Neurospora crassa OR74A: one gene and its partners. The protein of the gene in region 4 interacts with the protein of the main gene of each other region in a pairwise test. Links are inferred from orthologs where the notes say so. Each region holds a gene or a part of one and is shown on either strand. Other genes may lie near its edges. The genes, in order: NCU07041, NCU03794, NCU04439, NCU03018 and NCU01008.

Region 1 (6,108 bases), on a different chromosome or scaffold from region 4:
TTGTCAGAATACATCGTTCGTGCGTCCTCCTTTTGCTCAATGAGTATAGACATTGGAAGATATCGCTCCTTTTTTGATGCTTTTAGTGCTCTACTGAGACTAGGTATGATCAGTTATAACCTCCTCACATCGTTTTCTCCCCAGCGCCAGAAATGTTCACAACTTACTCTTGTCCTGGTCCTCCTTTCCATCAATCAAAACCACCAACTTGCCAAACTGCTTTCCCTCCTTCATCTCCTCAAACAACTCATCAATCCCCTCCAAATTATCCAGTCCCTTCACCACCTTACTCACCACCGGCCTGATTCCCTTCTCTCTCACAAACGCCACCATATCCTCAAACTCCTTTCTGCTCCCCATCGTCGACCCCTTCAACTCCACATTCTTTAGCACCGCCTGCATCAACCAATCCATCTTAGGCGAAACCGTCATGCCATAACTACTAATCACGCCTCCCGACTTCAACAGCTTAACACTCCTCGCCACCACGTCCCCACCCGCTCCATCCACCACCGCATCCAGATACGGCCTGTCCTTCGGCAACTGTTTCATCAACTGCTTATCCCAATCCTTGTCCTTGTAAATGACGCCCCCCTTGGCTCCCATCTTCTTCGCCTTCTCGATTTTCTCCGCGTTACCCGACGTCACAAAGACATTACACCCCATGGCCACCGCGAACTGCAACATCTGCAAAGCCACACCACCCCCAATTCCCGTCACGAGAATATTCTGCCCCGGTTTGGCCTGCGCCTTGGTCACCAACGCCCTCCACCCCGTTAGTCCAACGAGCGGGAGGGCTGCGCCCTCAGCAGCGCTCAGATGCTCTGGCGCGGGTACTGCCTCCGCCTCGGGAACAACAATGTACTCCTGCCCCGTGCCGGCGTCGGTCAACTGAGATGAGCCAATGACCGTCCAGGGCTGGTTGGGGTCGTCGGGCCCGTCGGGGGAGGAAATCCATCCGCGGCTGGGGGTGATGAGGACGGGTTTGCCGACGAGCTGGGAAGCGGCAGGGGAGACGGAAGGGCCAGTGGACTCGACGACGCCGTAGCCGTCAGCGAGAAAAGGTTGCTCGAAGGAGATGCCGGGGTAGAGGTGTTGGCGGATGAAGAGGTCGCGGTGGTTGAGGGCGCAGGACCGGAGGCGGATGAGAAGCTCGCCGGGGCCGGGGGTTGGTTTGGGGATGGTGTTTAGTTGGAGGCTAGATGGGGAGGCCGAGGGTTAGTCATGCGGGGAGGATGGTGGGAGTGAGTTGGTTGGTGGTGGTGATGGGGATATGTATGGGGGAGAAGAAAGGTGAGGTTATGTGAAGAGGAAGAACAAAACACTTACGGGTAGTAAACCTGGCCGGGTTTACCGTCAATTTTCTTGACAGTGAGTTGGAGAGGCATCTTGGCGTTGTGTTTATGTGTGGGTTGTGTTTTACCGAGGCCAATCCACTGGATGAGTGTTGAAGTATGTTCAAGAAGTGAAAGAAGGAAAGGGTCATCAAGTTTAAATCAGTTGCGACATCGGCCAGATTTGTTATCAATTGGACCCGGGGAAAGGGGTGTTGTCACTCTGTCATTGAGCCTCTCCCACCAACCCTGCCACCGACCAATGGCCGCCCCCACTCTCCCCCGCATTCGTTGCCGGATCCCGCTCCAATGATGCAACTGCCTCGGCCCGCCTTGTGATGCCCCTGGTTTGCGATCCGCCGGGGTGGAGCAGCCCGGTTGTGGTGCGGGTCTGCCACATCGGGCTTTATTCGCGATCGTCATCGGGTTTTGTTTCGGCCTTGGGTTTCGAAATGTCGACAGATTCAAGAACCGACATCTTTTCTGGACAAGTCATTGTTTTTGATAACACATTTGACAAAGGCTTTTGGTGAAATTTAGCAACCAGATCACCCTTGGATCCCGAAGCAGGAGAAATCTCAATCGTCTGCTGAAGTATGGGTATCATGGGATTCCAGGATCCTTTCTCTTTCTCTTCATCATCGTCTTCCTCAACTCCATTTCCACCTCCACCGCCCCCATATTTTGGATTGCACCACTTGTACCAGCTTAGTCGCTCGTCTTCCTCTTCTTGGCCTTCTTGTCCGTCAACTCCTCGGGCGGCACATACTCCTTCTCGCGCTCGCGCTTCTTCTCCTCCTTCTTCTGCTTGGCCTTCTCTGCGCGCTCCTGCTCCGCCACCCGCTGCTTGGCCTCCTTGCCGAGAAAGTATTCGCCGGACTCGATCTGGAGATCCACCTTGCTCTTCTCGGGCGCAGGGGGGAAGGGTGTATAGTTCTTCTTGGTCTTGTCGTTGACGACGTGGGGGACGCGGCGCTTGGAAAGCGTGCGCTTCTTGAAGTTGGGGAGGTAACGAGACCAGTCTTCGTGGGCAAGAGCGGGGTCCTTTGCGAGTTCGCGTTTGATCCTGTTTTCTCATGTCAGTTATTGTTGTTGTGGGGCGTCGCAAGTGGGCGTGCAGGCGCAAAACTTACATCAACTCCTTAATCATGTAAATTGGGTGAACGTTGTTCATGGTGTCCTCAACAACCCTCCTCACCTCCTTCAGACCCTTGAAAGGACCCATTACCGACACTGTGTTTCCGTGCACGAGGATATATGTTTGTGTGAGAAGCTCGAGAGCCTTGAGCGTTGTGCCGTTCTGTCCGAGAATTCTTTGGCGCCTCTTAACAAAACGCTCCTTGTTCCGTACCATGCTGCGGATCTTGATGATGTCGCAGGCCATGCCATCTTCGAGAATTTTGATCGCTTGTGGGGCTGGTACTGAACGGGCGAGCAACTTGATGAGATCGCGGGCGTTAAGAATAGCTGCGGGGTCATATGTCTGGACGTGAGTTAGCAAAGAGTGGTGACTATAAAGACAACAAACGCATCCGCCGTACCTTTCTTGTCGTCTTCACTGTCATGGAACCCTCCACCAAATCGAGAACTGCGGTGATGCCGTGCTTGTCGAGGGCCTTGGTGATGAGTGGCCACGAGTCTCGTAGATAACGCTCGCGGTACTTGGGGAATAGGGTCATAAACGAAGACTCCTCGAGGAAGGGGCCGGAGGATTCGTCCTTGGTGAAAGGGTCGACCTTCCACTTGTCGATGTCGTCTGTATCCCACGGCTTCTCCTTCTTGTGTGTGGACGGCATTTTGGCTGTAAATGTGTTTCTCGGGGCTCTTGTGGGCTGTTGATGTTTATGAATAATCAGAGGTCTCGATTGAGGTTGTGCGACAGGTCACGATATCAGGGCGAGCGACTTGGGTCTGGTGGTTGGATTTGATAAATGGCTTGTTGAAGGGATTGTATGGCAAGATGGCCAGCCGAATCGCGCTGCACGGATGGAAATTTTTGGAACACAAGCCTGCCGCAGCTGGTAAGAGTGGGGGCGCGGCGCTTCTTGCAGGTTGAGTTCCGGCTGCAGAAGCGCGACAGGATCAGCGGCCAGCTGGCAGATGCAGGGGCAGCTCCTTATCTGATAACTGGAACTTCCACTTGCATGGAAGTTGTAACTTTTGGAACCTGGTATTTTCATTGAGGACGACAACAGCATAAAAAAGGAGCAAATATAAGAAAACGACCGGATTCAGTTATTTCAAATCTCAGCGAGGTGGAAGTTTGGTTCTGTCATTACTGTCCTGCTGTACTTCGCAACGAGTCTATCCAAGTACTCTTGGCCATCTGCTCCTTTCAGCTGTTTTTTCCCCCCAGGTTGTAGATGTTATCTTATCTACATACTAGCTTATCATGACAGGGGCTTGCACGGCACGGCACGGAACATCAACAAGAAATCACACGTGCTGGCGACATCAAAAGGTCTTGATATGCCATGGTGGGATTGGCGACAAGAGCGTTTTGACTTGCTGGGGTCTCAACGTGATTTGTATACTCCCAGCAGGGCCATTGTTGACACCTGTACCGTCGGTAAAATCTCACCAAGGTGTTCAAGATACGCTGAAGTAATTGATGGTGAAGCATCGAATCCCGCCCGAGTCAAAGTTGACGAACTTAACAGCAGCAATTTTCAGGTTCGCCGTGATAAAGTCGCGGTAAGGCTGGATAACGTTCGTCGTTGGTTTTCCAGCTGAAGAACCAAGAAATCATCCCAGGTTCGCCCAATGAGAACCTGCAAAGATCTGACGACCCTGGCGCGCTGTGGTCATCATGATCGGGCAAGCACAATCTGCACTGTGGTACGCCACGGATTACAGCATTCCGTGCACGAGGTTTCGAAATCCATCAACGTTTTCCGTCAGAAAGGGGTAGGTTCGGTTTTGTGTCGCCAAGAATCAGAACTCCTTCCGTCCCTGCAACATCTTCCCCTTCTTTTTCTTCTTCGGCCCCGCGACATTCTACACTACTCCCTTCGATTTCCCCTTCGTATCCCTGGCGTCGGTCTTTATCCCGAACCCCAAGACCTTCAGGTATCGCTGCTTCTTGTGACCTTTGCCAAGATCGACGGCAATTGTCGTTGTCTATCCTTGAGAAGAAGAGAAAAGGAAAAGAAACAAATCGAATTCATCATAAGCACAGACGTCATTTCTGGGACGTTGACCTCGACCACCACACACCCGCACCTCCCTCCGCCTGCGCAGTCTCGATCCCGAAGTTGGCAATCCCGGTCACGGGCCCACGGTCTCGCTCGCATCCACCACGAGTGGGTCAATTGGCACCGACGCCGCCTTCAACCGCCGTGAAAGTCAAGCTGGCTTCGACTCGATCTCCGGGCCTTCTTCCCCTTATTCATCCGCAATATCCAACATCATTTACACCACCCACCGAGTTGGAGCTGCCTCCGGTTCAAGCCGTCATAATGGAGGATCCCACGACGCAACAGCAGCCCGCGGCGGCATCGCCATCCTTGCCAGTGCCGACCACGCTTGAACCCGAACCCATATCCCGACCGAGCTCGACGTCGACCCAGGCCTCGGTGCCTCAAAACATGTCGCATATGTTGCCCGGTATCGCATCCATTGCCACTACCACCACCACGACCACCACGACCACCGTCACCACCAACAACAACAATAACAATAACAACAACAACAACAATACGCCGGCGACAGTCACATCACCACAGCCTAGGTTAGTTTTCAGTCAATTGGGTTCACAGATGCCGAAGAAGAAGCAGTGGTACAAGGCGCATTGGCATTGGTGGCTCTGCTTGACACGTAACCGCGATGCGCCAACTTTGCTGACATTGCAATGGATGGCAGGCCCATGACCATGGCCGCTCCTCCCATGATTCCTCCAGGCACCTCTCCAGCTGCCAGCTCGCATCCAGGTCCAGGAGGCAACTTGGTAAGTCTACTCCATATTGGTGTTGTTGTATCTGTCCCCCTTATCGCGTATCGCATTATCCCAGTCGCGTCTTGCGACACAATCGGGCGGTTGGCAATGGATCAACGTCACGAAAAGCCAAGGCCACGGGTTTGCTGAGAATGGCAACGATTGCCATTGGCCATAGAGCCGGGTTTTGGTGGAATTCTGGCTGCTTATCTAAGCCCCTCCATGGCCCGACCGGGTTGTTATCGCAACAGCCCACTTCTTTGGTGGTAACCCACTGGGCTGCAGCGCCCCAAACCTGGAAGCGGCCCCGTCAAAAAATTTCCTTATCATTTCCGTGCTTCGTTCTTATCGACATCCCTCCACGTTCTATCTCATTCACCAGCTTCCACTCCATTCCCGCATTTATTTATCAAGGTTGGCTTATCGCCAGCATCTAATCGGCCTTCTATCTCTCCCTCTCGATACCATTGAGGTTCCCATCTCTTATCCGACAGCGCACCTGCACCACCACCACCACCACCACCACCGCCAACAACAGCAAACATGGCGACAATGGCTAACCATGATCGCGAAACCACACAGCCCACGTGCCAGAACTGCGCGACCTCGACAACGCCGCTATGGCGCCGCGACGAGATGGGCCAGGTCCTCTGCAATGCCTGTGGTCTCTTCCTCAAGCTGCATGGCCGTCCACGCCCAATCTCCCTAAAGACCGATGTCATCAAGAGTCGCAACCGCGTCAAGACCATGCGCCCTGACTTGGCCAAGCAGAAAAAGGCAAGCCGTTCATATCCGTCCGACCTCGGCAAGCTTCAGTCAGTAAACTAACTGTGTGTGCCC
Region 2 (6,318 bases), on a different chromosome or scaffold from region 4:
TCACCCTTGTAGAGGATACCGCAAAAGCCGTGATAACCGCTTAGCGGCGACCGTGGCTGCGAACGGCATTTCCCTGCAGAGACTCGAGTTCCATCTCGAGGGACTTGATCTGGGCGTGGGTCTGTTCAAGGTCCTTGTTGAGACGGTCGCGCTCGGCAATGAGCTTTTGCTCCCACTGCCTGAAACGCTGCTCCTCGATCTTGACCTGTTCTGTGAAGCGCTTGCGGAGAGCCTCCTCCTCCTCCTTGAACTTGGGGTTGTCGAGCTTCCTTGGGCGAGCCTCGCCGAACTTGCGGGTCTCCATTTGCTGGGCGCGGTAAGCCTCGTAGTGCAGCTCCTCTGTTGTGTGGATAAGGTCCAACATGTGGGTGCGGATAAGAATCGAACGGAGCTTCTTGAAGTCGCAGTGTTCCTCGTTCTCGACTTCGGCCACACCCCACGAGTATTGACGGCCCTTGACAATACGTCCATCGCTGGTCTTAACATCCTTCTCGGAGCCGATAACGGCAAAGGGCATAGCGGCCATCAAGCTGCGTGCGTGTTGTGCGGCAGCCTCGTCATCCTCCTCAATAGGTGGCTGGTAGATCTTGATACCCTGAGCTTCGATGACGGCACGGATCTAGAAGTCATGGTTAGCGATGATGGGTGGTATCTTCAAGTAAAGGGAAAAACCTACCCTGGACTTGAACCTCGCCAGGTCGGCAGGGCTGAGAGTGTCGGCCTTGGCAATAACGGGAATGAGGTTGACGCGAGAGCAGAGTCTCTTCATGACCTCGATATCTAGGGGCTTAAGCGTGTGGCCGGTGGGGCGGATGAAGTACAAGCAGGCGTGGACACGGAGATCAATCTTGTCCTGACGGCGGGGTTGTTGCTCCTGGAGCATGTAGGACTCGTGCTGGTCGTCGAGGAATTCGATAATGGGCATCCACGAGTCGCGGTTGTTGACGTAGTCACCAAAGCCGGGGGTGTCGATAACAGTCAGGCGAACTATAAGCTGGTTAGACAGAGCTCTCCTACAAGACACCAAGGTCCCCCTGCGTGATGTGCTGTCGTACCCTTGAAGAACTTCTCCTCGAGCTCAGCCTTTGTGATTTCGATCTCGACGGTCTTGTCGACCTGCTTCTGGTGGCGCCTCTTGTGGTCGGCATAGTTCTTGATGGTCGTGGAGAACAGCGTGTTGATGAAGGTGGTCTTGCCGAGGCCGGACTCGCCAGCAACCTATCCACCCACGCCGTCAGCATTGGTTTTACAAGCGCGAGGTTCGGCAAGCTTTGGACAGTGAAGCGCACCATAATAGTAAAAGCAGCGCCTCTCTTAGCAACAATCTTGTGTCGCTGGTTGGGCAGATTGGCAATGCCAATCGGTGAGGCGCTCTCGGTAGTGGCAGGGGCCATCTTCAGCTGGGCGAAACACGAAACTGGGAGATAATTATGGGTAGAGGATTAAGTCACGATCCCGTTGCTGTAACGGCGAGAAGAAGCACCGGCAATTGGAGAAAAAGAGCGTCAGGCGGGATGCGTGGTGTACGGGTATGGTGGTGGTCGTGAATGGGAATCGAAATTAGGTTGGTGTTGACAGTGGACGGGTGGGAGCGAGAGGCAGACGGGGGATGGAACTGCAGTGGTGAGTGGACGGGGGACCCGTCGTGGAGCTCTGTGCTTTCGTTCAGGGGAATTTACTTGTTCAAATTTCCACACCACATTCATCTGGCCCAACCCAGCACCACACACCCACGCAGGAGAGAGCACCAGCGACGGGGACGGGAGCGCCAGGCCAAACCTAGCCCACACTGACTGAACCCCAAGCACTCCAGGCACTGCAGGGCCGCGGCAGCAGACGGACGGAGCAAGCAGCGAGCAAGCAGCATTCGATTCCATCCTCCAGATGAGGTGCCTGGGCGGGGCCACGGCAGCCGTCTGTGATGATGCCGAGAAGGCGCACGGTACACGATCCATATAATCCAATGGCACCTTTCGAGCCCGGCATTCTGCAGTAGTGTAGAGCTGCCACCACACAAGGCCGCTCTTGACTGGCTGCGCGGCAGGGAAATGAGTGGACCCTCCCCTTTTCCACTTGCTTCCCACACTTCCCCAATTCCAGGTCCCCAGAGACGGACCTACGCTGGCAGCTCTCCACTGAAACGCGCTTGCCAGGTACCCTCGCCGAGCATTTAATCGATGCGTGCCTTCCCTGCTAGCGCCATTGGCGGTGATCAGCCATTCATTGCCATGGAAACTTGGTCGACCCTTTGACCCTTTGATTGCCAGCTCTGCCAGCCTTGCACTGTGCTTGGTGACCGTGCTTGGTGGTGCCGTGCAGTGGTTGGTCTCGCTGCGGTCGGTGAGGCTGCCAGATACGCCAAGTCTTTTGCCAGCTGGTGCCAAAGCGAGGAGCTAACCCGACTCCATTCCCCGCCAAAAAGTTTATGAAATTTTTGGCTGGCAGAATCGCCATTGAACGTACGGGCGGTCTAGGCGCAACAGCAGCAGCCTGTAACTGAACTTCTGTTCCACTTACCTATACAGACTCGAAAGAGTCCTCCAGTTCCTGTACATAATCGAATCCCCAGATACTATCCCAGTTCTGCTCCATCTCCAACGTTGACAGTCGAGGCATGGAATAGTGTTTGAAAATGAAGACCGACTTCAAGTTTTCTAATCTACTGGGCACAGTCTACTGCCAGGGCAACCTCTTGTTCAGCCCGGACGGTACCCATCTCTTCTCGCCCGTTGGCAACAGGGTGACAGTCTTTAACCTTGTCGAGTACGTCTCAAGATTCCCTACACACCTGCCTGGCGCATGGCTTGTAAGCTGGCTAACACGGTCGCAGTAACAAATCATATACCCTTCCCTTCTCCCACCGAAAGAACATTGCGCGTATCGGTCTCACGCCCCAGGGCAACCTCCTACTCTCCATAGACGAAGATGGCCAAGCTATTCTCACCAACGTGCCCCGGCGCGTAGTACTATATCACTTCTCCTTCAAGGCTCCAGTAACGGCTCTCTCCTTTTCGCCATCGGGGCGCCACTTCATTGTTGGACTCGGCAGGAAAATCGAGGTTTGGCACGTTCCCTCAACACCCGACGCCAACGCCGACGGCGAGCTCGAGTTTGCGCCCTTCGTCAAGCACCATACCCACGTCCAACACTTCGACGATGTCCGTCACATCGAGTGGTCCCACGACTCGCGATTCTTCCTCACATCTTCCAAGGATCTCACAGCAAGGATATGGAGTGTTGATCAAGAGGAGGGGTTCACACCTACAGTTCTGTCCGGTCACAGGCAGGGTGTCGTGGGCGCGTGGTTTTCCAAGGATCAAGAGACGATTTACACAGTCAGCAAGGACGGCGCCGTATTCGACTGGCAATACGTTGCGAAGCCTGGACAGGACGAGGATATGGTGGACGACGATGACCTGGCCTGGAGGATAGTCAACAAGCACTATTTCATGCAGAACAGCGCCACCGTACGATGCGCCGCTTTCCATCCCGAATCGAACTTGCTGGTTGCCGGTTTCTCGAACGGTATCTTTGGCCTCTACGAAATGCCCGACTTCAACATGATCCACACTCTCAGCATCTCCCAGAACGAAATTGACTTTGTGACGATCAACAAGAGCGGCGAGTGGCTGGCGTTTGGCGCATCCAAGCTTGGTCAGCTTTTGGTGTGGGAGTGGCAGTCCGAGTCTTACATTCTCAAGCAGCAGGGCCATTTCGACTCGATGAACTCCCTCGTTTACTCTCCGGACGGTCAGCGGATTGTCACAGTCGCCGATGATGGAAAGATTAAGGTGTGGGATACGGAATCGGGATTCTGCATTGTTACCTTCACAGAGCACACGAGCGGCATCACTGCTTGCGAGTTCTCCAAGAAGGGCAATGTCCTGTTTACCTCGAGTTTGGACGGTTCCATCAGGGCTTGGGACTTGATCAGATACAGAAACTTCAGGACCTTTACAGCACCAGAAAGGCTATCTTTCTCTTGCATGGCAGTTGATCCTAGTGGCGAAATCGTGGCGGCTGGCTCCGTTGACTCTTTCGACATTCATATTTGGTCTGTCCAGACTGGCCAGCTCCTAGATCGTCTTTCGGGACACGAGGGCCCTGTGTCATCCTTGGCCTTTGCGCCTAACGGCGGTCTTCTTGTGAGTGGTAGTTGGGACCGCACTGCCCGTATCTGGTCCATCTTCAACCGCACACAAACAAGCGAGCCTCTCCAGCTCAACTCGGATGTTCTCGACATTGCCTTTAGGCCAGATTCTCTCCAGATTGCCATCTCCACTCTCGACGGCAACCTGTCGTTCTGGTCGGTCTCGGAAGCTGAGCAGCAAGCTGGTCTTGATGGACGCAGGGATGTCTCCGGCGGTCGGAAGATCGGTGATCGCAGGACTGCGGCCAATGTTGCCGGTACCAAGGCTTTCAACACCATCAGATACAGCACAGACGGATCGTGCCTTTTGGCCGGCGGAAACAGCAAGTATATTTGCTTGTACTCCGTCACCACCATGGTTCTCCTGAAGAAGTACACCGTGAGCGTCAATCTTTCAATTCAAGGCACTCAAGAGTTCCTCAACAGCAAGCTTCTCACCGAGGCTGGACCCCAGGGTCTCCTGGACGAGCAAGGCGAGGCCTCCGATTTCGAGGACAGGATAGACAGGTCACTCCCAGGCTCCAAGCGCGGCGACCCCTCCGCACGGAGGAAGAATCCCGAAGTGAGAGTAAACGGCGTTGCCTTCTCCCCGAACGGAAGTGCTTTCTGCGCCGCCTCCACAGAAGGTCTTTTGATCTACAGCCTGGACACCACCATCCAGTTCGATCCCTTTGACCTCAACATGGAGATCACCCCCACCTCTACCCTGGCCGTGCTCGAGAAGGAGAAGGACTACCTCAAGGCTCTCGTCATGGCTTTCCGCTTGAACGAGGCCGGTCTGATCCAGCGTGTCTTCCAGGCCATCCCTTACACCGACATCCCTCTGGTGGTCGAGCAGTTTCCCAACGTGTACGTTGCCAGGCTGCTGCGGTACGTTGCCGCGCAGACCGAGCAGAGCCCTCACGTTGAGTTCTGTCTTCTTTGGATCAAGGCTCTGGTCGACAAGCACGGCGCGTGGTTGTCTGCCAACCGCGGCAAGGTCGATGTTGAGCTTCGTGTTGTCGCAAGGGCTGTTTCCAAGATGAGGGATGAGATCAGGAAGTTGGCCGATGAAAACGTCTACATGGTTGACTACCTCCTCGGTCAGGCGAGCGCTGCTAAGGAGACTAATACCACCAAGACCTTGGCGCTTGAGTGGGCTACCACCGGCTCGGATGAGCAGCCGGGCGCTGGCGGTATGAGCTTGAACGATGTCATGCAGCAGGATGAGGGGAACGCCAGCGAAGACGAGTGGATCGGTTTGGTATAGGTCCTAGGATTTAGAGTACTATAGGATTTTTGTAACGGTAAGGAAGGGTACCACACATAGGATAGGCGCTGATACGGAAAATGTTTGTCAACCGGCATTCTAGTTTATAACTTGTACAGATGATTTTGATACCAATTCATGGCAATAGAGAAAATAGGGGTTTTGGGATACAACTACAACGCCATGCGAAACTGTGTGAAAGCAATGCCATACCCCCTTAGTCCAACATTTGTGGATTGCTAGATGCCTTTTACTCGACATTGGGAATATCCTCCCATGCCTCATCGAACCCACAGCTACGTACCCAGTTTGGTCCTGGTGCGAGGACCGAGTCGACAATCAGGTGGTAGACCTTGTTCCAGTAATCGTCATCTCTTGTTTGATAATAGAGCTGGCAAATACGTGCAGCTCGGGCAAGCTTGATGCTATGACCATCGTCCTCAAAGAAATGCAGGTTGGAAATGATTTCTTGAAAATCATCAGTATAAGTAGCGGTTCAAGGCCGACAGAAGCGAGGTAATCATCAACTCACCTTCAGGAGTCCCACTTGTCTTCTTCTCCTTAGGCTGATAAGAAGTAATAGCATCAAGCGACAACTCCGGCGCTCCACGCGCCGCGTACTGAACCAAATCCATCCTGATCTTCCACTCGAGAAGACGGACCTTGGTGTCAAGTGATATCCAATCTTGTGCGTTGACTGTCGTGAAAAACGGTGCTGATGTGACATGGTGCCTATAGAAAGTCGTTCGTCAGTCAGTATCAATCTTCCCGTCCAACTCCTTGCCTACCCCTTCTTGAATTCAAGGGGGGGCAGCGGTACGTGACCAGAAACACCAAAACCGGACGAGGAAACTCACATCAAGAAGAAATCAAACCTCGGCAACTTCGTATTCCTCTTCACCAACGCCGCCGCACTAGC
Region 3 (6,622 bases), on a different chromosome or scaffold from region 4:
TACCAAGGGGTGTGTGGGTGTGTAAAAGACTGATCGCAACAAACGCGGCATCTTATCGTGAAGGGGCTATATCATGGATGCTTGCATCTCGTCCCGTCGTTCGTTTGACACAAGCCTCCCGTCAGTCGAGGGGAAGCACCTTAACTCTCCATTTCTCCTATTCCCCGCTACGGACCTCAGGCAGATGCCTTGAACGAGATGGCTTTGATCAGATACCTACCTAGACAACAACCAGTCTCTTGCAGAGAGTGTGCAAATAATTCAAGGGACGAAATATCATCATATGGGTTCCCTAGCAAGAGTGTTGATACTTAACTTACTCCGAACTGCTTGATCTGAGGCTTGAGCCTTACATATGCTGTGCCGACATTGCTACTTGTAAATGTCATACAACACCATCATGTTTATCGATTATTTTTTTCCCCCTTGAAGGATAGGTGGTGCGACGGAACGGCCAGTGTAGCTGACACCCAGGGTTGACATTAACCAGCCCGCTGTTGTTGCGAATCACTTGGAAGAAAAGGCATGTTCCCACGAGTGCGGAGAGATAGCTGGGTTACCTCACAGTTTCGCCTACGAAAAAAATGATTTCAGAGGAAAAGAGGACACAAAGAGAAGGTAGAGCATTTTCAAACTTTCAATAAATGAGAGGTAACGAACGACAGAAACAGATCAATCCCGCCTCAGATGGGGATGATCGAAGTATCAAATTTGACACCTTGACTTCTCTTCCAGGTTCTGGCCTGCTCCTTCATCCACAAATGATTGACGAAGGCGAAAACGGAAGCAGCCATCCATCCGAGTGTCCGGGGTGCTGTCCTGTGCTGGAAGGAGCGAGAGACATGCTTCAGAAACTTACGAAATGCTTCGTCCAGCCTTACAGTACCCCGAAATCTCGCCGCAAGCTGCTGGGAAAGGATGGATAGAGACTGGAGCTGGAAATGTATTCTACACGAAGGGAGCATAGTGGCATGGGACCGACCCTTTTGTCAAAATACGTGGTTTAGGTATCATAACAAGTCTAAAACTATCGCAAAATACGTATGTAAACATCCATGATTGGATGACGAACCCCGATATCTCTCCTTTTCCCACACCAACACCAACATTGAAAACCAACTCATCAATCCTCCAACAAGCCAGCGGCCAAAGCCTCCAAATCCTGCAAGTTATCCGGCTCATGATCCATCTCAATGACCTTCCTGCCGCCCTCCATCTTAGCCTTCTTCCTCCTCGGCCTGCCGTCATCGCTATACTCCGTATCCGAGTCATCCTTCTGGAACCACTTCTTAGCCTTCTTCTTAGGCGGTTCCCTATCGTCCTCGCTCTCGTCACCGCTGTCACCGCCCTTGCCAGCAACAGGCAAACTTCTGAGCAAAGCCAAAGGATCCTCCTCCACATCGCTGTGCGCGTCCAGCAGCGCCGGCTGCAGGGGACCCTTCTCCCTCTCGACCTCCTCTCCCCTCTCCCTTGCCTTGGCGCGCTCCCTCTTCTCCTTCCTCCGCTGCTTGGCCAGCAGCTTGTCTTCGACATCCTGCTCCTTGACCTTGGTGGCTTCGCTCTCGACGAACTTCTGCCTGAGCTCCTTGGCGTCGCCCTCCTTCTGGAAGTCCTCCTCGTCTTGCAGCTGGTAGAGCGGGTGGGCGTTTCCTTCGTCGTCAAACACAAGCTTCTGGCCCTTCTCCATGTACTTGAGCAGCTTCTTCTTGGACTTGAGCAGCTTCTCGCGACGGTGCGAGTCGATGACCAACTCGGCGTTCTTGCCCAGCTTGACCACCTTGGCCGTGCCGTCGGGGTTGGTGCCGGACTTGGCATTGCCGGCGGCGTCGTCGAGGGCGGCATCGTCGTCCAGCACGCGCTTGACCGAGAGGAAGTCGTCTTCCTCGTTGTCTTCTGCCTGATCTTCTCCGAGAAGCTTGCGGTAATGCGTCGACAAGACGTCCTGGTTTTGACGCTCGGCCATCTTGTCGTACTTTGTCCTGACCTCCTTCTTCTTCTTGCGGATCTCGCCGTCCGAGCCTTCGGTGTCGGACCCGCTGGACATGGCGGCGCGCGAGGCATTCTTGAGCTTCTTGACGTCCTCGCCCTTCTGGTATCTGATCTGTGGAGTACCTGGGAGACCCAGGCTGGAAGCAAAACCGTCGAGGTCGAGTTTGTCGAACTTGAACACCTCCTTATCCTTTTGCAGGTAAATCGAACGGACGTACGAGACGAAAGCCTTCTGTCCGAGGTATTTGAGATCGGGTGACTGGAAACACTGTGACTGTAGTTCGTTCTTGATGCTCTTCTTCTTGTTTTCTTTGACGTTCACTTTCTGGACGGTCACCTTCTTGTGCTCGAGACGCTTAAGGAAACCCTCTTCTTCGCTGGGGTCGAGGAACAAGACGGCGCGGCCCTTGCTCTCGTAACGCGCCGTTCTGCCGACGCGATGGATGTAGGTGTCGGCATCTTCAGGGCAATCGACCTGGATGACCCAGTCAACGGCGGGGAAATCGACACCTCTGGCCACGACATCGGTGGCGAAGAGGCAGGAGTATTTCGCGGACGTGAACCGGTTCGTGATCTCGAGACGTGCTATTTGTTTTTGGCGACCATGCAAATGTAGTAGTGGAATACCGGGCTGCATCCGCTTAAAACTTTCGTAGACGAATCTGACCTGCTTGCCGGAGGACATAAACACAATAATCTTGCTCTTGAGGTTCGTTCGTAGGAAGCCCCATAGCGTGTCGAGCTTCTCAGGGAGAGGTGTGACGATGTAATGCTGTTGGAGGCCGACGGGGGTCGCCGATGCTGCGGCTTCGTGAACAGAGACGTATTCGGGGTCCTTCAAGCTCAACCGGGCAAGGTCCGAGACACGCTTGCTTTGTGTGGCGCTAAACAGCAGGGTCTGCCTGCTCTTGGGAAGATGCTCAACAAGAGCGTCAACGGCCTGTTGGAAACCCATGTCCATGATGCGGTCGGCCTCATCAAGCACGAGCATCTGGAGGTTGTCGACATCGAAGCCGGCCGTTTGGTCGAGATGCTGCAGCATACGGCCAGGTGTGCAGACGAGGATATTCATGCGCCCAAGACGCTCCGCCTCCTCCTTCAAGCTCTTTCCACCAATGACCAAGCCTGCCGAAAAGCTGTGGTTGCGACCAATCTTCCTGAGAACTTCAAATATTTGGACGGCCAATTCACGGGTCGGGCTGATAATGAGGGCACCGAGACCGTCGTACTCAGTCCATCGTGCACGGTATAGCTTCTCGAGGACGGGAACAAGGAAGGCGAGGGTCTTGCCGCTACCTGTCCTAGCAGCGCCGAGGATATCTTGCCCTTTGAGCGCGAGAGGGATGGCGGCGCGTTGGACATCGGTTAGGACCTCGAAATGGGATGCGCGTAGTCCAGAGGCGGTAGGTTCGCAAAGGGGAAGGTCCGAGAACTTGTTGAGTTCGGTGGATTTGGGGTCCTAGTAGATTGAGACACAATATTTAGAAGCGTGTGCGGTTGTATGGTGAGAAACGGGGGTTCAGTACTAGGACTTACAAGTTCGTCGATTCTCTTCTGAAGCGCCTCGAGGTTCTCCAACTCTCTTTTCCTCTTCAACGTCTTGTGTTCGGCCTTGTTGGCTTTGGACCTCTCCTTCTCGGCTTTGCCCTTGCCACCGCGGCCTTTGGGGCCTCCTGGAGCCATTGTGTTTGTATCGTCTGAACGTGCTGGAAATTGGGCGTGGTGGGTTCGACGAAGTTCCAAAGGTCGGGTCTGCTAGTCGAGCGAATCCAATTGCCTGCGGGTCGTCGCTGGTGGCCTTTCAGTTCGATGCGAATGGGAAAACTTTTGGCGGAGAGCAATTCTGCCAGCTCGACCCACCTCATCCACTGTAAGCGAGGGGATCTGCAGCAGGGGTCTCGGACTCGCGGCCAGCTCAGACCAGGGTTAGGGTCATACGAGCAGACAGACGACCATCGAGTTGTCAGCCCCCAGTGACATTCTCAAGTCGTTGCTATGGTTCATGATGGGTTGGATGGGCAGTTGTACGGGGCTGAAGTAGAAAATTCACAGTAGCTTTTGCATCGAACCAAATTCGAATTGTAGTGGTTTTATCTCAGCGCCCACAACTTCAGCAATCTACATGTTTCACTTAGAACAGCAACATTCGAACATCAACACCGTGCCTGAGCAATGAAAAGAGCCAAACTATCATGAAAGCATAATGTATTGAACCACGAAAAAAATGAGCTTGAAGACGGGTATCGCTCGCTCACATGATTCCTTCGTAGGTAGACACCCGCAATAAAACCAACCCACTAGACCCACCCATATGTACGTTTCCCAAAGTTGAAAGCGATAAAAAAAAAAAAAAGGACCAAAACGCCTTGCCCCATTCCCAATTTCCTTGCTTTTCCCTTCAATACGTATTCGGTAGCTCAAGATCCGTCGCCCAGATACCCATTATCAATCCTGTTATTCCTCGCCCTCGTACTCTAATTCCTCCCCAAACAGTTTCAGGCGGTAAATGCATGTATGATCCAGGGCTCCATGGTTCGTCTTGGCTCTGACGACCACCTTGTACGTCGCCGCATCCAGATCGAGCAACTCCTCCGACAGCTTGTGGACAAACATGCCGTGGCTACCGCTGGTCTTGGCATAGTCGTACTCCAGCTCGCCGATCTTGACGTATTTTCTGTTGATGAGGGACAGCGATTTTTTGTTGTTTGCGTCGACCATCTTCATGTCAGCTTCGCGCTCGCCAGGGTACAACTCGTCCATCCAAGCCAGGAGTCGCTTGTTGTCGTCCGCGTCCGGATAGTATCCCCAAATCTCAATGTCTTTGGGCATGGACCCAGGGTCATTCGTCGCGTTCGGATGGACGTGCTCAACGACGATGGCTTGGGGAATGACATGTTTGGCCATCTCCACGGCGAGCTCGGCCCCCCTGCTGGCTGAGATGCCAGCGCACCAGCACTGGCCAACGTCGTTCCAGGCAGAGAGCGCCAGCATGTATTCTGCTTCCAGGGTGACCTTATCCTTGCTCGAAATGGGCTTCGGCTTGCCGAGCAGTTTGCTGAGGTGCTTGTTGCCTGGCAGTGCTTGCGACTCAAGTCGGTATACGGGGGATGATTCCGACAAGACGATACCAGCTTCATTGCCCAGGCCGAAATGATTGACTTGAGTTTCAACGTAGTCGTGGTAGTTGCGCATGATGCCGTCCTTAGCGGCTGCTTCAAGTTGCGCCCGAGGAATCTCCTTCTTGACAATATTCCTAACCAAGGTGGTGATTTCGGACTTGGAAAGACTGCCTTCGGAGTTGGAGATGGCCGCCTTGACCGTAGTGTCGATGAGTGTCTCAAGCCCTTTCTTGACGGAATCCAATTGACCATCAATCTCCTCCTTGTGTTCTGCAATCCTTTTCTTCAAGAGGCCCACAAACTCATCTCGGCTGATGGCTGCGTCACGCGTGACCCCATCGCCTTTGTCGCCTGGTAGATGCTCCTTGACAACCTGGGCAACCTTTTCCCCGTTCTTGGTTACCCAACGTTCCCAAGATTTGGAAACAGTGCCTTCAGCAATCTGCAAGATATGCTCATCCGATGGGCCCTTCTCGAAAAGTCCGGCTTTGATGAGGCGCGGCCGTAGTGCGTCCCAATGCTCTTCGGAAATGTCACCAGTGCCGTCAAGCGTGAGAACCGAGCTGTCCTTGAGCATCTTATCCAGAAGAGCATGCCAAAAATCGTCCTGAATGATGAGATCGCCGTTTGGACCACGTTTAACGTGCACCATCCGGGGAAGAAGAGTTTGGATGTTTTTGACAGCACTCTCCGTAGAAGAAGATTGTTCAAGGATAAAGTCCTTCAAGTCATTAAACTGATCATCCGTTAGCTGCGGATGACTGGGGATGAACTGCCCGACGTTGCTCCTCCAGTGCTTCCAGCCATACCATCGGATGCTGGTATTCGCATCCGGCGAACCATAAGAAGACGCGGTTAAGACTATCAGACCGATGAGGAGCACTGGTACAAGGAATGTGAACAGCTTCCACACGCCCCATGTCGAACGGCGAATCAAACTCAGTAATCGTTGCACGAAGGTAGGAGGAGCAGTAGTATACGGAGGAGGCGGTGTTTCCACGTTGGTGGTATTTGACTGTTCGGCTCGCGGCCTGGATGTTTGGTTTGGTCTTGCAGCTGTGGGCTTGGACACCTTGCCAAAGGACGGATACTGTTTGTCAGACATGGATTTCGCCTCTGTGTCGAACAAGTCTTGGTGTTGATCGACTTGATGGGAAGGAGGTTGGAGAGAATTGGAGAGGGTTGACGCTGGTCGCCTTGCGATTCTGGGTGGTTCTGGAGGCTCTGGGGTATATCGGGCTAATCGCTTTTGTTGAGCCATTCGCACCTCTTCTTCGAGCACTTCCCTCATCTTTTCCGAGTCCGTGTAGACATCGCTTTCCTCCACGTAGCTGTTGCCGGTATCGGGTACCACAAGTTCCCTTGTCCTGGAAGTAGGTGGTGTTGAAAGCAGTTGTTTGGAAGGTGGAGGGGGTGGTCGCATAGCCTGCCTCTTTGCTTCCTCCAGGCTTGCCATCTCTGCTTCGCTTGCCTCTCGAGCTTGGCGTTGCTCTTCCTTTTTACGCGCAGCCTCT
Region 4 (4,131 bases):
CTTCTTTGGTCCCTTCTCGCTCTAGGCCACACTACCGGGGAACCGGCCATTACTGATACCCATTTCTTTTCGCCCTCACCAGGCCATTAAAGCCGTACACGTCAACATCTATGATGTCCTTGAAACCGATAGAATCATTCAGGCCGGGGGGGAGTCAAGGCCGCAGCGATTCACAACACCTCAGGCGCTCTCAAAGTATTCAATAGGGCATCGCAAGATTTACCCCAGGAATAAGGTCATCGAAGATCAGCCGGAGCACGCGATGCTCAAGCACATTTTCGATCCGGATTTGGAGGAAAAGTTGCAGAGTAAAAGAGAGGAAAGGCTGGGGAAGAAGAAGGAGGCGAAGTTGAAGGGAAAGGAGAAGTCGCAAAGGGAGAAGGAGGTAAAGCAAACGGAAACTGGAAGCACCTGAGGATTGAGGGGATACTGATGCCTCTGAAGACGTGGTTTGATGCATGTCATGCGTACAAGGAGAAGCATGGGAATACATATCGTTGCCATAGGGCTGACACTTGCTGAAACCTTTTAGACGAGCTGGACAGAATTTCATGGCCCAAAACCTTCAAACCCTTAGATTACCACTAGTTTATACTCCGCACTATTTTATCGCCAACTCAACGCACTACACAATGCGCAGATCTAGCTCCTAATCTCCCACATCCTAATCTTGCCCACATCATTGCCCACCGCCAACACATCACCACCATTCTGGTGGCTAAACGCCACAGCAGTGATCCTACCCAAAGGCGTTTGCTCCGTAGGCCAGTTCCTGTAAACGGTGCAGCTAGGCAAGTGCACCAGCCTTAACGCGTCCTTCTTGTGGAAGCTACCAAACGCCAATAGCTGACCGTCCGGCGCGAACGTCACCACTGAGATGGGCGTCGTGAGCTGCTCAAACGTCCTCTGCGGGGTGGGGATGCTCTTAATCTGCACTGTCTCCTCCTTGGACGCCGACGCACCACCCTCCTTCTTAACAGGCTCAACCAAATCATTCCGATCGTAAATGTTCATAATGCCGCTATTCGAGCCCACAGCCACCCAGCGATCGCCACCAATCTGGCTAGGGCCGGTGCCCTTCTGCCCGCCCAGCGCAATCACCGTGCCGCCGATCGATCCTTCGTCGCGCCAAACGCCGACCGTGCGCCGGCTGAGCATGCTCCACTCAGTGACCTGGCCGTTCTTGCCGAGGATGGAGAGGCCGTTGCCGTTGCCCCACCAGGCGAAATCGGAGATGCCGCCGCGGCCATTGGTGCGCGCCTGCGCAATCCACTGCATCGTGCGCACGTTGACGATGTTGATCATGCCGCCGCCCTTCTTCTCGGAGGCGATGAGCCCCAGGTAGCGTCCGCAGGGCGAGGGACGGAAGTGCTCCATGGTACGCTGCTCGCGCTGGTGGCCCTGGATCTGGGTGATCTTCTTGACGGCACCCGACGAGAGGTTCCAGCTGTGGAAGTAGCGCCGGCGACCGGCGAAGATGACGTCGTCGCCATCGGGACCGAGGAACTCGGAGCGCCGAAGGTCGGTGCGCTTGACTTGCACCGACGTGAGGGCCGGGTTCGGAACCGGGTGCGCGGTCGGGTCAACTTGGTGTAGGTACATGATGGAGGAGACGCTGCACGAGAGCAGGATGGGGTGCTTGGGGTGGAAGGACAACGAGCTGACGGACTGCTTGTGAATGTCGGGGATGTCGCGCGAGCGCTGAATGTCGATGGTCTCGGGGCGCAGCTTGCGGCGCTTGCTGCCACGGGCATCGGCGCTGGCGTTGAAAGAGTTGACGTCGCGGAGGAAGGTCTCGAGAGGGAGGGCGGATTCGATGTCGTCTTCGGCGTCACTGTCTTCCTCGGAGGAGGAACCGGCGGCTGAAGATCTTCTCCTCCGGCGCTGGCTGGCGGCCGAGGATTCCTTGGCCCACTCCGGAAGGGGGTATAGTCGGAGGTACTGCGAGCGCAGGCGGCGCGCGTACTCGGTGCCGTTCACGACATCCTCCTCTTCGGACTGACGCAGCTTGCGCAACCGCGAGGCAGCCGCAAGGGATACTGTCAACCGCTCGTCATCGCTGTCCTCCCACGCTGGGGGGTCCTCCTTCTGCTCGTAAGCCTCTAGCGCAGAGGGCGCGGCCTCTGTCTGCTTCTTATTACCGGGAACGCCAGTATCGAACGCGAAGAGGGCGTTATCGTCGACATGTTCGAGGCCAGTCGTGTCATCTTGCTTGTCGGTCCTAATGAGAGCCTTGGAATCGGTAATATCGGCGAGGAAATCGTCGCGGAAAAGCTGGGCGCGGAAGGTGTCGTTATTGCCCAAGACGAATCGTTCGAGGTCTTCTTCGTCAGAGTCCTTCTCTTCAATATCGTACTTTTTCCTCGGGTCGGCAATTGAATCCATATCGGAGTCGTCCTCGTCGTCGTCGTCTACTGACATGCCATCATTGTCGTGCATCTCCTCATCGCTCTCCTCGTCGAATCCGACGAATTCGTTGTCGTCGGAAACTTCGTCTTTCGTCTGTGGCGCCATTTTGTTCTGATTTAGGAGATTGCGCAAAGCCCAGTAACGGGAACTTTTGCTGTGAGATCCGGTCCTGGTTAAATGGAGTTGAAATGGACGGAAATGCCACGACCAGTCGCTAGTGTTTGGTTTGTTTTGAGGTTGGGAACTTTTTTTTTCGTTATCAGCCTTGCAGATCGCAGATCCTGTCCCACTTAATCTGGACCCACTTGCTATCACAAGCACGCCAGCCTTGTTCAAGGAATAAGTTTGAAGTACCCCTACAAAAAAAAAAGTAAAAAAATAAACATATATTAAACTTATCTGATGCCTCAATGCTACTTTCATTAACAATATCTTTGTGATGAAGATGACTTTATGTGAACTCATTCGAAGACAATAAATCTGACCAGACACGAACTAGTACTAAAATTATGAGCCACGCAGAGCAAATATATGATTTCAAAAAGAACATATGCATGAAGAGTACGTGGTGTTTTGGTATCCTTGCAGATGATTCTATGTCATCTCACAGCCACCTTTTTGATTATTGGACGACAAGCAAGTCTAGAGCCTAGCTTAACAACAGAGCACAGCTAATGCCCACCACACACAACAAGTTAAGTGCATGCTTGCAGCTCGCCAGCCCAGCACCACTACCAACATTCGACGTCTCAATAACCGTCGAATCACCAGGAGCAAAGAGGGCGCCGAGTTCGTTAGTGTCTGTCCAATCGATGTCCTCGGGCGCCAGTAACGGGTTATCAAGTGATTGGCAAGACGGGCGGTCGTCGCTTTTGCTGATGCTGTTGGTCACAGAGACGGGAAGATCAAATATCGTGTAGTGGTTCTCGCCATTGAGTCTGAAGCGTTGGTGGATGGAGATCTTTTGAATTGTCAGTGAAATGGCTATCAACACACTCTTAAGCTGACTATTTGGAAAACCCACATTGTAACTGCCACGATCGTTCCCATTCGTACCATCGCCAACCATGCAGTCGGGCCATGTCCACCGGACATGCTTCACGGTGCTACCAGGCTCGGAGAGCATGATATCACCGAGTGTGGCATTGTTGGCCGACGCAGTACCGTTGGTGATGGTCAAGTTTCGGCCCGTTACGTAGCTGTAAAGGAAGATGTTGATGTTGTAGATTTGGCTGGAAGCGTCGTCGCCGTAGGGCGGTAGAGGAAGCTTGCCATTGGCAGAAACATCGAGCGCAATCTCGACATTGTCTACACAAGTTGAAGCTTATTAGTAGCAAGTCCTCAAGTCCTTTGCCGACAGCCAGCCGGGTACTAATAGTACTAACCTCCGCCAAGAGGCGTGTCCGGCTGGGGGGAATCGACGATAACAAAACCAGGGGTGAAAATCTGGCCATTGCTAACGGTAAAGTTGCTCGCAAGACCCTTAGTCGCAAAAAGTGCCGCAGCTGCAAACACAGCGAGAGACAATGATTGTGTCATTCTCAGCAATGTGATTCAACGATCTCGGCGGGTCAAGTCCTTGGAATGCGAAGGGAGCTAAAAGAAAAATGCACTTGTCAAGGAGTAGACCGGACAGCAACTGGGCGTATCCTGGATAAGACAGACAGCTAACTAACCTAACGTATGGATGAAAAGATCTTCAGATTGACGTTTTCGAAAAGG
Region 5 (5,407 bases), on a different chromosome or scaffold from region 4:
TGTGAAGGAATAACCATTATGATGGTTCATGCGGCTGTCGGTGGAGTTAAGGTGGCGAGGGGAGTCCAGACAGGCTGAAATGATATTTGAAGTGTTCATTTCCCCAAAAGAGGGTGCTATAACCGCAAGGTGATGGCTCGTAACATCCACTTGAGCTTGCGTGTGGTCCATGGGGGACGGATGCCGTGAGGCAATGTAAGTAGCCAAGTCAAGCATTCCCTCTTGGTGGTACAAGGGCGGCAAGTTCGGCGATGGAACAGCTTTCAGTATCCCCTTCTGCCCGGTGAAACCGAATGCGCTAGACTTCGCGAGCTCCGCAACCGTTCGAACTTTTGGTTCTAAGCTGTGGCCATGCTGGTGGCGGCCTTTCGAAGTAACTGACAGTTCCTGAGAAACTTGACTATCGGGCAATGTATGGTGGACAAAGTCACTGCTTGAGGGGTCCTGGTTTCCGCTCGTCTCTATCCATTCTTTGAGGGGGTAGAGATTGTAAGAAGGGCCGGACGGTTCTTCCTCATACGTTGCGCCACAGAAGTAATCACGCCCTGATTCTAGTGGTGAATCGAGATCATGGGATGAAGAATCGAATGTGACTCGGGAGCTTGCGTTGCGCGGTACTCTAGAGCTCGTAGGCGTAGTGTCCGTGGGAGTGAAAGGATCTGCTTGGTGAACAGTTAGCGGGCTTTGGGACAAAGATGACTTGTAGACGTACGTTTCCGAGGAGGAATCATAAACCTCATGTTGCCTGACTTGATGGTTATATTCGGACTTGGAACCGAATCAAGATGTTCATACTTGGGAATCGAGTTACGATCCGTCGAAGAGTACCGAGAATGCAAGATGTTGCTCAGTGCTTCCTGATAGGTATTGTTACCCCTGAAACTAGGGAGAGACAACTCCGAAGAGAGGGCGCGCTGGTATGGTGGCGGATCGATGGACCCAGAGTATGGGTTCGCATCTCGAACGCGGTTCTTCTGGAAAGTAGGCATGGCGGTTGTAGAACATAGAGGATGAGACTGGCGGTTTGGTGTCGGGAGGGCTCTTCCGGGGGACGAACTCCCACAGAGCGATGCTGATCTGATATGGAGCCCGGTGTCTCAGGGTGTCGAAAGAAATCCAACCTTGATTCAATGACAAGATGAGGATCAAGGTAAGGAGGTACGAGAAGTATAAGGAGACCTTGGTAACAGCAGAGAAGACAACCAGGAGTACCAGGACCATATAGGATAGAGATAAAGCCGAGGATAAAGGATGAAGTGAAGAACTGAATGATGCGGTGTTAGGAATACGGAGACATTTGTTAGGTCAGGTCTCGCTAGGGAGTGGGAGCGGAAGATGCAGAGAAAAAAGAGGAAATGCCAAGAAGAGGAGCAGGCCAAAGGGACGATTTTCATGAAAGAGTGAGCCATTGTAAATGAGCTACTTTACGGAAGGAGCGAGGCTCGTCGGATGTTTTATTTCGTGTGCTGCCAGTTTCGAGGAACGGAACAGAAAGAACGCAGGAGCACCCCTAAAACCCAGAAGTATGCCAGTGATATTGTCGGCTATTAGTCGGTAGTGGTTCGGAAGGAAGACTCACCAGGCTTTGGTCACAGTGAGACACTGCAAGTTCGAGTGGGGAGCCCGCAGCTGGTACACTTCCGCAACTCCGAGTGATTGACCTGTAAACCCGAATGGTGGTATCTTAAAATCCCTTTCACATATTTTGAATGCCTTTACCCTAAAACGCCACAGAATATTGCTCGCATATGAGCACTCCTCCCAATGCCAACTTGCAAACAACGCAGTAGTATGTCCTTTCCCAGTGATCCATTTTCCAGCCTTAGCTCCCAACGTACCATTACCACTTCCTGATATGCCCGCAGCCATGCTCTTCCGCCACTCAAAGAAGCTCGAAATCGTCCAACTTGTCGCGGTACTTCATAATGTTCTGCTTGATCTTGCTGCCGACAGACCAAGTGACGAAGTCCTCCATACTCCTCGTCACCAGGAAAGCAGGATCACGGACCTCTTCGACACCCACACGGACATGGCCCTGCTCAATCATCTTGGTCGCTGCTTGCACGGTCTCGGCCATACGAAGTCTGGTCATGACGACGGGCAGTCGCCTCCTGGCAAAGGCCGAGACTGTGACCTGGTGCTCCACCTGCGACAGCTTCGACTTGGACTGTGATTGGACGTTAATAACTGCTCGAGTTGAACTTCGATACCGGAAGACATACCGACAGAATTCCCATGTCGTAAAGCTTGTCGAGCAAAAGCTCCTCGTGCTTTCGCCTCACCTCGTTGTCTGGAGGAAGCAAACTGAGACGATGGGCGAGTTGGCGGAGGGACTGTGGCATATCATGTCAGTATGTCATGAACAGTTTCATATAGGTAAGGTTAGTTGATGAAACTTACACCGCACATCCTGTTGTACTTGTGCTAGAAGGGGGTCAGTTGTCATGGTCATTATGAAAAGTCACTGTGAGCCTCATCTCATCCTTGCTTGGATTAACATACATAGTCCTCGGGCTTCTGAATCATGTACCGTCTGTGTGACTGTTAGCAAGATGTTCTCACACAAAAACCACTTAAGGCGAATGAGCGTACCTGGCGACATCGTGATCTCTGTGCTTGTTGTCCGACTTGTAGTTGATGAAGTCGGTCTTCCGAAGAAGCTTCTGTTCCGCGTGCTTGAGCTTGCGGACCATGTTGGCAATTCGTTGTCTGTGTCACTGATGGTGTGCTGTTCTAGTTGGGTCGAGAAGTGTGTCGTTGTGAAAGGTATCAAAGATGCGGTATCAATCAGACGGGTGTGGAGGCGATGGATGGTTCAGTATCGTAATCTGATAGTAGCAGCAGCTGCAGTGGTGGTGGTGTTCTGGCGTTGAACTTTTGCTGCAATGAAAACTCTTGCCCCACACTTTCTCGCCTGCCGGGCCCCTTGCTTAGCGCACTCTTAGCCCGCAGCGAGCTCCATTTTACCCCATAAAATAAACCGGGACGCTTCAGGCTTTCCAGCAATCAGCTCCCGCCCTGCCAGCTGCCAGCCGCAAGCCCGCAACAGCGCCCCGGTCCGCGGCAGGCCCCGCCACTGCGCCGAAAAGAGATTGATCCGCCAAAAAGTGTCGCTGCCGGCCCGGAGCTCCAATTTCCAATTGCCCGCACCGACCGTGCCCGCCGCCGCCGCATCTCCCCGTCGCGACTGAACCCCCGATCCCCGATTCCCGACTCCGACCGATCGCGAAACGGGAGCTCCATTCTTGTCTGTGTGTGTGTGTGTGGTTTCCCCGAGAGGACTTGCACATCGCCAAAGCCCAGCTGTTACAAGCTGTTGTAACCATTACAACAACGACGACGACCACCACCACCACCACCACCATGTCGTCCTCTCGTCAATTCCTCTCCTCTGCGCTCAGGCAGTGCCGCGCTGCCGGCCAGAGGACCGCCCAGTTCTCGACCACCTCACCGGCCGCTGCCAGTATGTTCGCTCCGTCGATCGCAAACCCGATATGCCGCCCTCCACAACTCTATAAGCATAACACATAAGCTAACAACACCTTCAATCACCAAACAGTCCGCGACATCCCCACCACTTCCTTCCAAAATGCCCCGCGCACCAACACCAACACCTCGTCGCCGTCGAGCAACAACAACAACAACGCCGGCTCGAGCCAGTACAAGTCGGACATGTTCAACCTGCTAAACAGCGGCGCCGGCAGCCGGGGAGGAAGAGACAGCTACAACAACGCACGCGACGTCGACGGAGGACAGCGCTATGGCAGCAACAGCCAGAAGGTGCAGGAGCTGCTCCAGTCCGAGGTGACCTCCAACAACTACATGCGCATGATGAGGCGCCGGTGGAACAACGGCGACGTGTACGCGCCGCGCGACCTGTCACCGTACGAGATGAAGGGCAGGAACGGGGGATGGGTGGAGGCGGCGGATGTGGTGGATGAGCTTGGGTTTAGTCCGTTGGATAACTATCGTGTATGTTTTCTTTTTTCTTTTTTTTTTCTTTTTTCTTCTTGTCACTCCCTCCCCTCTCCCTTTCTCTTGTTCCTCCTCCTTCACACACCCCTCTTCCCTTCCCAATTCCATTGTCTCGAAAACTGGCCTCAGGCGAAATGCTAATTTCCTTGGGGACAACAGAACTTCTCCCTCATCTCCGACTACATCACCCCCTTTGGGCGGATAAGGCACTCCAAGGAAACCGGCCTGAAACCCGTCAACCAGCGCAAGATCGCCAAGATGGTGCGGCGCGCCATCGGCCTCGGTATTCACCCCTCTGTGCACAAGCACCCCGAGATCCTCAAGAACAGCAACGGCAGGCACTTGTTGCCGCTTGTTGTGCCCAAGGGCCAGAAGGCGAACAAGACCAAGAACTTTGATGGAGAGGATGAGAACTAGAATGGTCTGGAAGGTCTGGACTTGGGCGGAATGAAGGGGGAATTTATGGGGGAAATTTGCATGACTGGGCGGTTACGGGCGTGAGGTCGCCGTCTGGCTAGCAAGCATGGCTAGTAGCACGGTATGGGCTGAATGGATGGTTGATCGGCGGACTCTATTACGGTTATCGTAGAGTTGGTGTATTATTACTGTATACACGGCACACAAAATGGTATTTTGCAAAGTTTGGGCTTGGATGATGGCGGTCATCAAAGGGTGATTGTGGAGGAATGCGGATAGTGGGCATGAAAGATGGTGTGAACGATCACTCACTTCGTCTGTGCTACTGCATAATCTACAGAGACCCTGACGGAGAAACGAACAAAAAGACTAAACCTAGACCAAAACCGGTTCCAATATCCACCTTCTAGTTTTTGTCTAAAGGTGCTAAATGTAATGTACAACCCAAAGATGAACCATCCTCCTGCCCACCCGCTCAGAAGCGCAAAAAGCCACCTAACAATCATACAACGATGTACCCCTCCCTCTCTCTAACTCAAAATATAAAATTCTCTGTACAAGTCCTGTTTTTCCTTTCTTTCTACTTACTGTCGATATCGTATGTAATATGAACCTCCGTTTGAGGTCAAGCCTCAAACAGCCTGGTAATGTTGAACACAGGTCCCTGAAATTCGGTTTCTTTCTGCCCCTTACTCTCCAATCTCGCCCACTCCTCCGGGTACTCCTCCTTTGCCCAGGCCGCGAACTCGTCCTTGGACACCGGGTCGGGAAGGGCGTTATAGGTTAGTCCAAGCCTGTTTGATTCAGTTATTGTCAGCATTTTCGACAGCGTCTTGCAGGAGTTTTCCAACAAAAACAAAAATGGGAGACTCACGTCATCATACTAGCCCCATACCCCAAGCTCGCGTCAGTCCCCTTGATCAGCTTAAACACCTCGTCCATCTTTCTCCCCCACGCCGCGTTACTTCTTGCGATAGCCGCGCAATACGCATTGAAAACGTACTGCGGCACCTCC

What was found.
Region 1: the proteins of NCU03018 (region 4) and NCU07041 interact in binary tests that used the Saccharomyces cerevisiae proteins (3 or more experiments, as listed by UniProt). The link is inferred for Neurospora crassa OR74A from reciprocal best matches to the Saccharomyces cerevisiae genes UTP18 and KRR1.
Region 2: the proteins of NCU03018 (region 4) and NCU03794 interact in binary tests that used the Saccharomyces cerevisiae proteins (3 or more experiments, as listed by UniProt). The link is inferred for Neurospora crassa OR74A from reciprocal best matches to the Saccharomyces cerevisiae genes UTP18 and PWP2.
Region 3: the proteins of NCU03018 (region 4) and NCU04439 interact in binary tests that used the Saccharomyces cerevisiae proteins (3 or more experiments, as listed by UniProt). The link is inferred for Neurospora crassa OR74A from reciprocal best matches to the Saccharomyces cerevisiae genes UTP18 and HCA4.
Region 5: the proteins of NCU03018 (region 4) and NCU01008 interact in binary tests that used the Saccharomyces cerevisiae proteins (3 or more experiments, as listed by UniProt). The link is inferred for Neurospora crassa OR74A from reciprocal best matches to the Saccharomyces cerevisiae genes UTP18 and IMP3.

Annotation. Positions count from the first base shown.
Region 1 is NC_026504.1:4,997,121-5,003,228, reverse strand, and holds NCU07041 (90S preribosome/SSU processome component KRR1), read right to left. Parts: upstream 3,310-6,108; 5' UTR 3,131-3,309; coding exon 2,876-3,130; intron 2,818-2,875; coding exon 2,468-2,817; intron 2,401-2,467; coding exon 2,043-2,400; 3' UTR 1,536-2,042; downstream 1-1,535. Other genes in the region: NCU07042 (alcohol dehydrogenase), read right to left, coding at 83-99, 168-1,198, 1,330-1,388; asd-4 (GATA type zinc finger protein ASD4), read left to right, coding at 4,793-5,064, 5,196-5,280, 5,851-6,045. UniProt on the Saccharomyces cerevisiae protein: Required for 40S ribosome biogenesis. Involved in nucleolar processing of pre-18S ribosomal RNA and ribosome assembly. Essential for vegetative growth.
Region 2 is NC_026505.1:2,436,134-2,442,451, reverse strand, and holds NCU03794 (periodic tryptophan protein 2), read left to right. Parts: upstream 1-2,458; 5' UTR 2,459-2,632; coding exon 2,633-2,763; intron 2,764-2,830; coding exon 2,831-5,399; 3' UTR 5,400-5,569; downstream 5,570-6,318. Other genes in the region: NCU03795 (cell division control protein 12), read right to left, coding at 41-619, 677-987, 1,056-1,218, 1,290-1,394; NCU03793 (hypothetical protein), read right to left, coding at 5,650-5,867, 5,932-6,131, 6,257-6,318. UniProt on the Saccharomyces cerevisiae protein: Required for bud-site selection and cell separation. Also involved in nucleolar processing of pre-18S ribosomal RNA.
Region 3 is NC_026504.1:3,353,173-3,359,794, reverse strand, and holds NCU04439 (ATP-dependent RNA helicase dbp-4), read right to left. Parts: upstream 3,794-6,622; 5' UTR 3,673-3,793; coding exon 3,526-3,672; intron 3,449-3,525; coding exon 1,124-3,448; 3' UTR 989-1,123; downstream 1-988. Other genes in the region: NCU04440 (hypothetical protein), read right to left, coding at 4,444-6,622. UniProt on the Saccharomyces cerevisiae protein: ATP-dependent RNA helicase required for ribosome biogenesis. Involved in the release of U14 snoRNA in pre-ribosomal complexes. Required for pre-rRNA cleavage at site A2.
Region 4 is NC_026501.1:8,426,113-8,430,243, reverse strand, and holds NCU03018 (small nucleolar ribonucleoprotein complex subunit), read right to left. Parts: upstream 2,801-4,131; 5' UTR 2,515-2,800; coding exon 643-2,514; 3' UTR 465-642; downstream 1-464. Other genes in the region: NCU03017 (hypothetical protein), read left to right, coding at 26-415; NCU03019 (hypothetical protein), read right to left, coding at 3,059-3,370, 3,434-3,717, 3,795-3,948. UniProt on the Saccharomyces cerevisiae protein: Involved in nucleolar processing of pre-18S ribosomal RNA and ribosome assembly.
Region 5 is NC_026505.1:2,663,247-2,668,653, reverse strand, and holds NCU01008 (U3 small nucleolar ribonucleoprotein IMP3), read right to left. Parts: upstream 2,893-5,407; 5' UTR 2,694-2,892; coding exon 2,593-2,693; intron 2,534-2,592; coding exon 2,503-2,533; intron 2,425-2,502; coding exon 2,401-2,424; intron 2,334-2,400; coding exon 2,223-2,333; intron 2,168-2,222; coding exon 1,883-2,167; 3' UTR 1,517-1,882; downstream 1-1,516. Other genes in the region: NCU01009 (hypothetical protein), read right to left, coding at 1-659, 713-989; NCU01007 (mito ribosomal protein S18), read left to right, coding at 3,364-3,463, 3,560-3,972, 4,135-4,392; complex I intermediate-associated protein CIA84, read right to left, coding at 5,018-5,186, 5,267-5,407. UniProt on the Saccharomyces cerevisiae protein: Required for the early cleavages at sites A0, A1 and A2 during 18S ribosomal pre-RNA processing.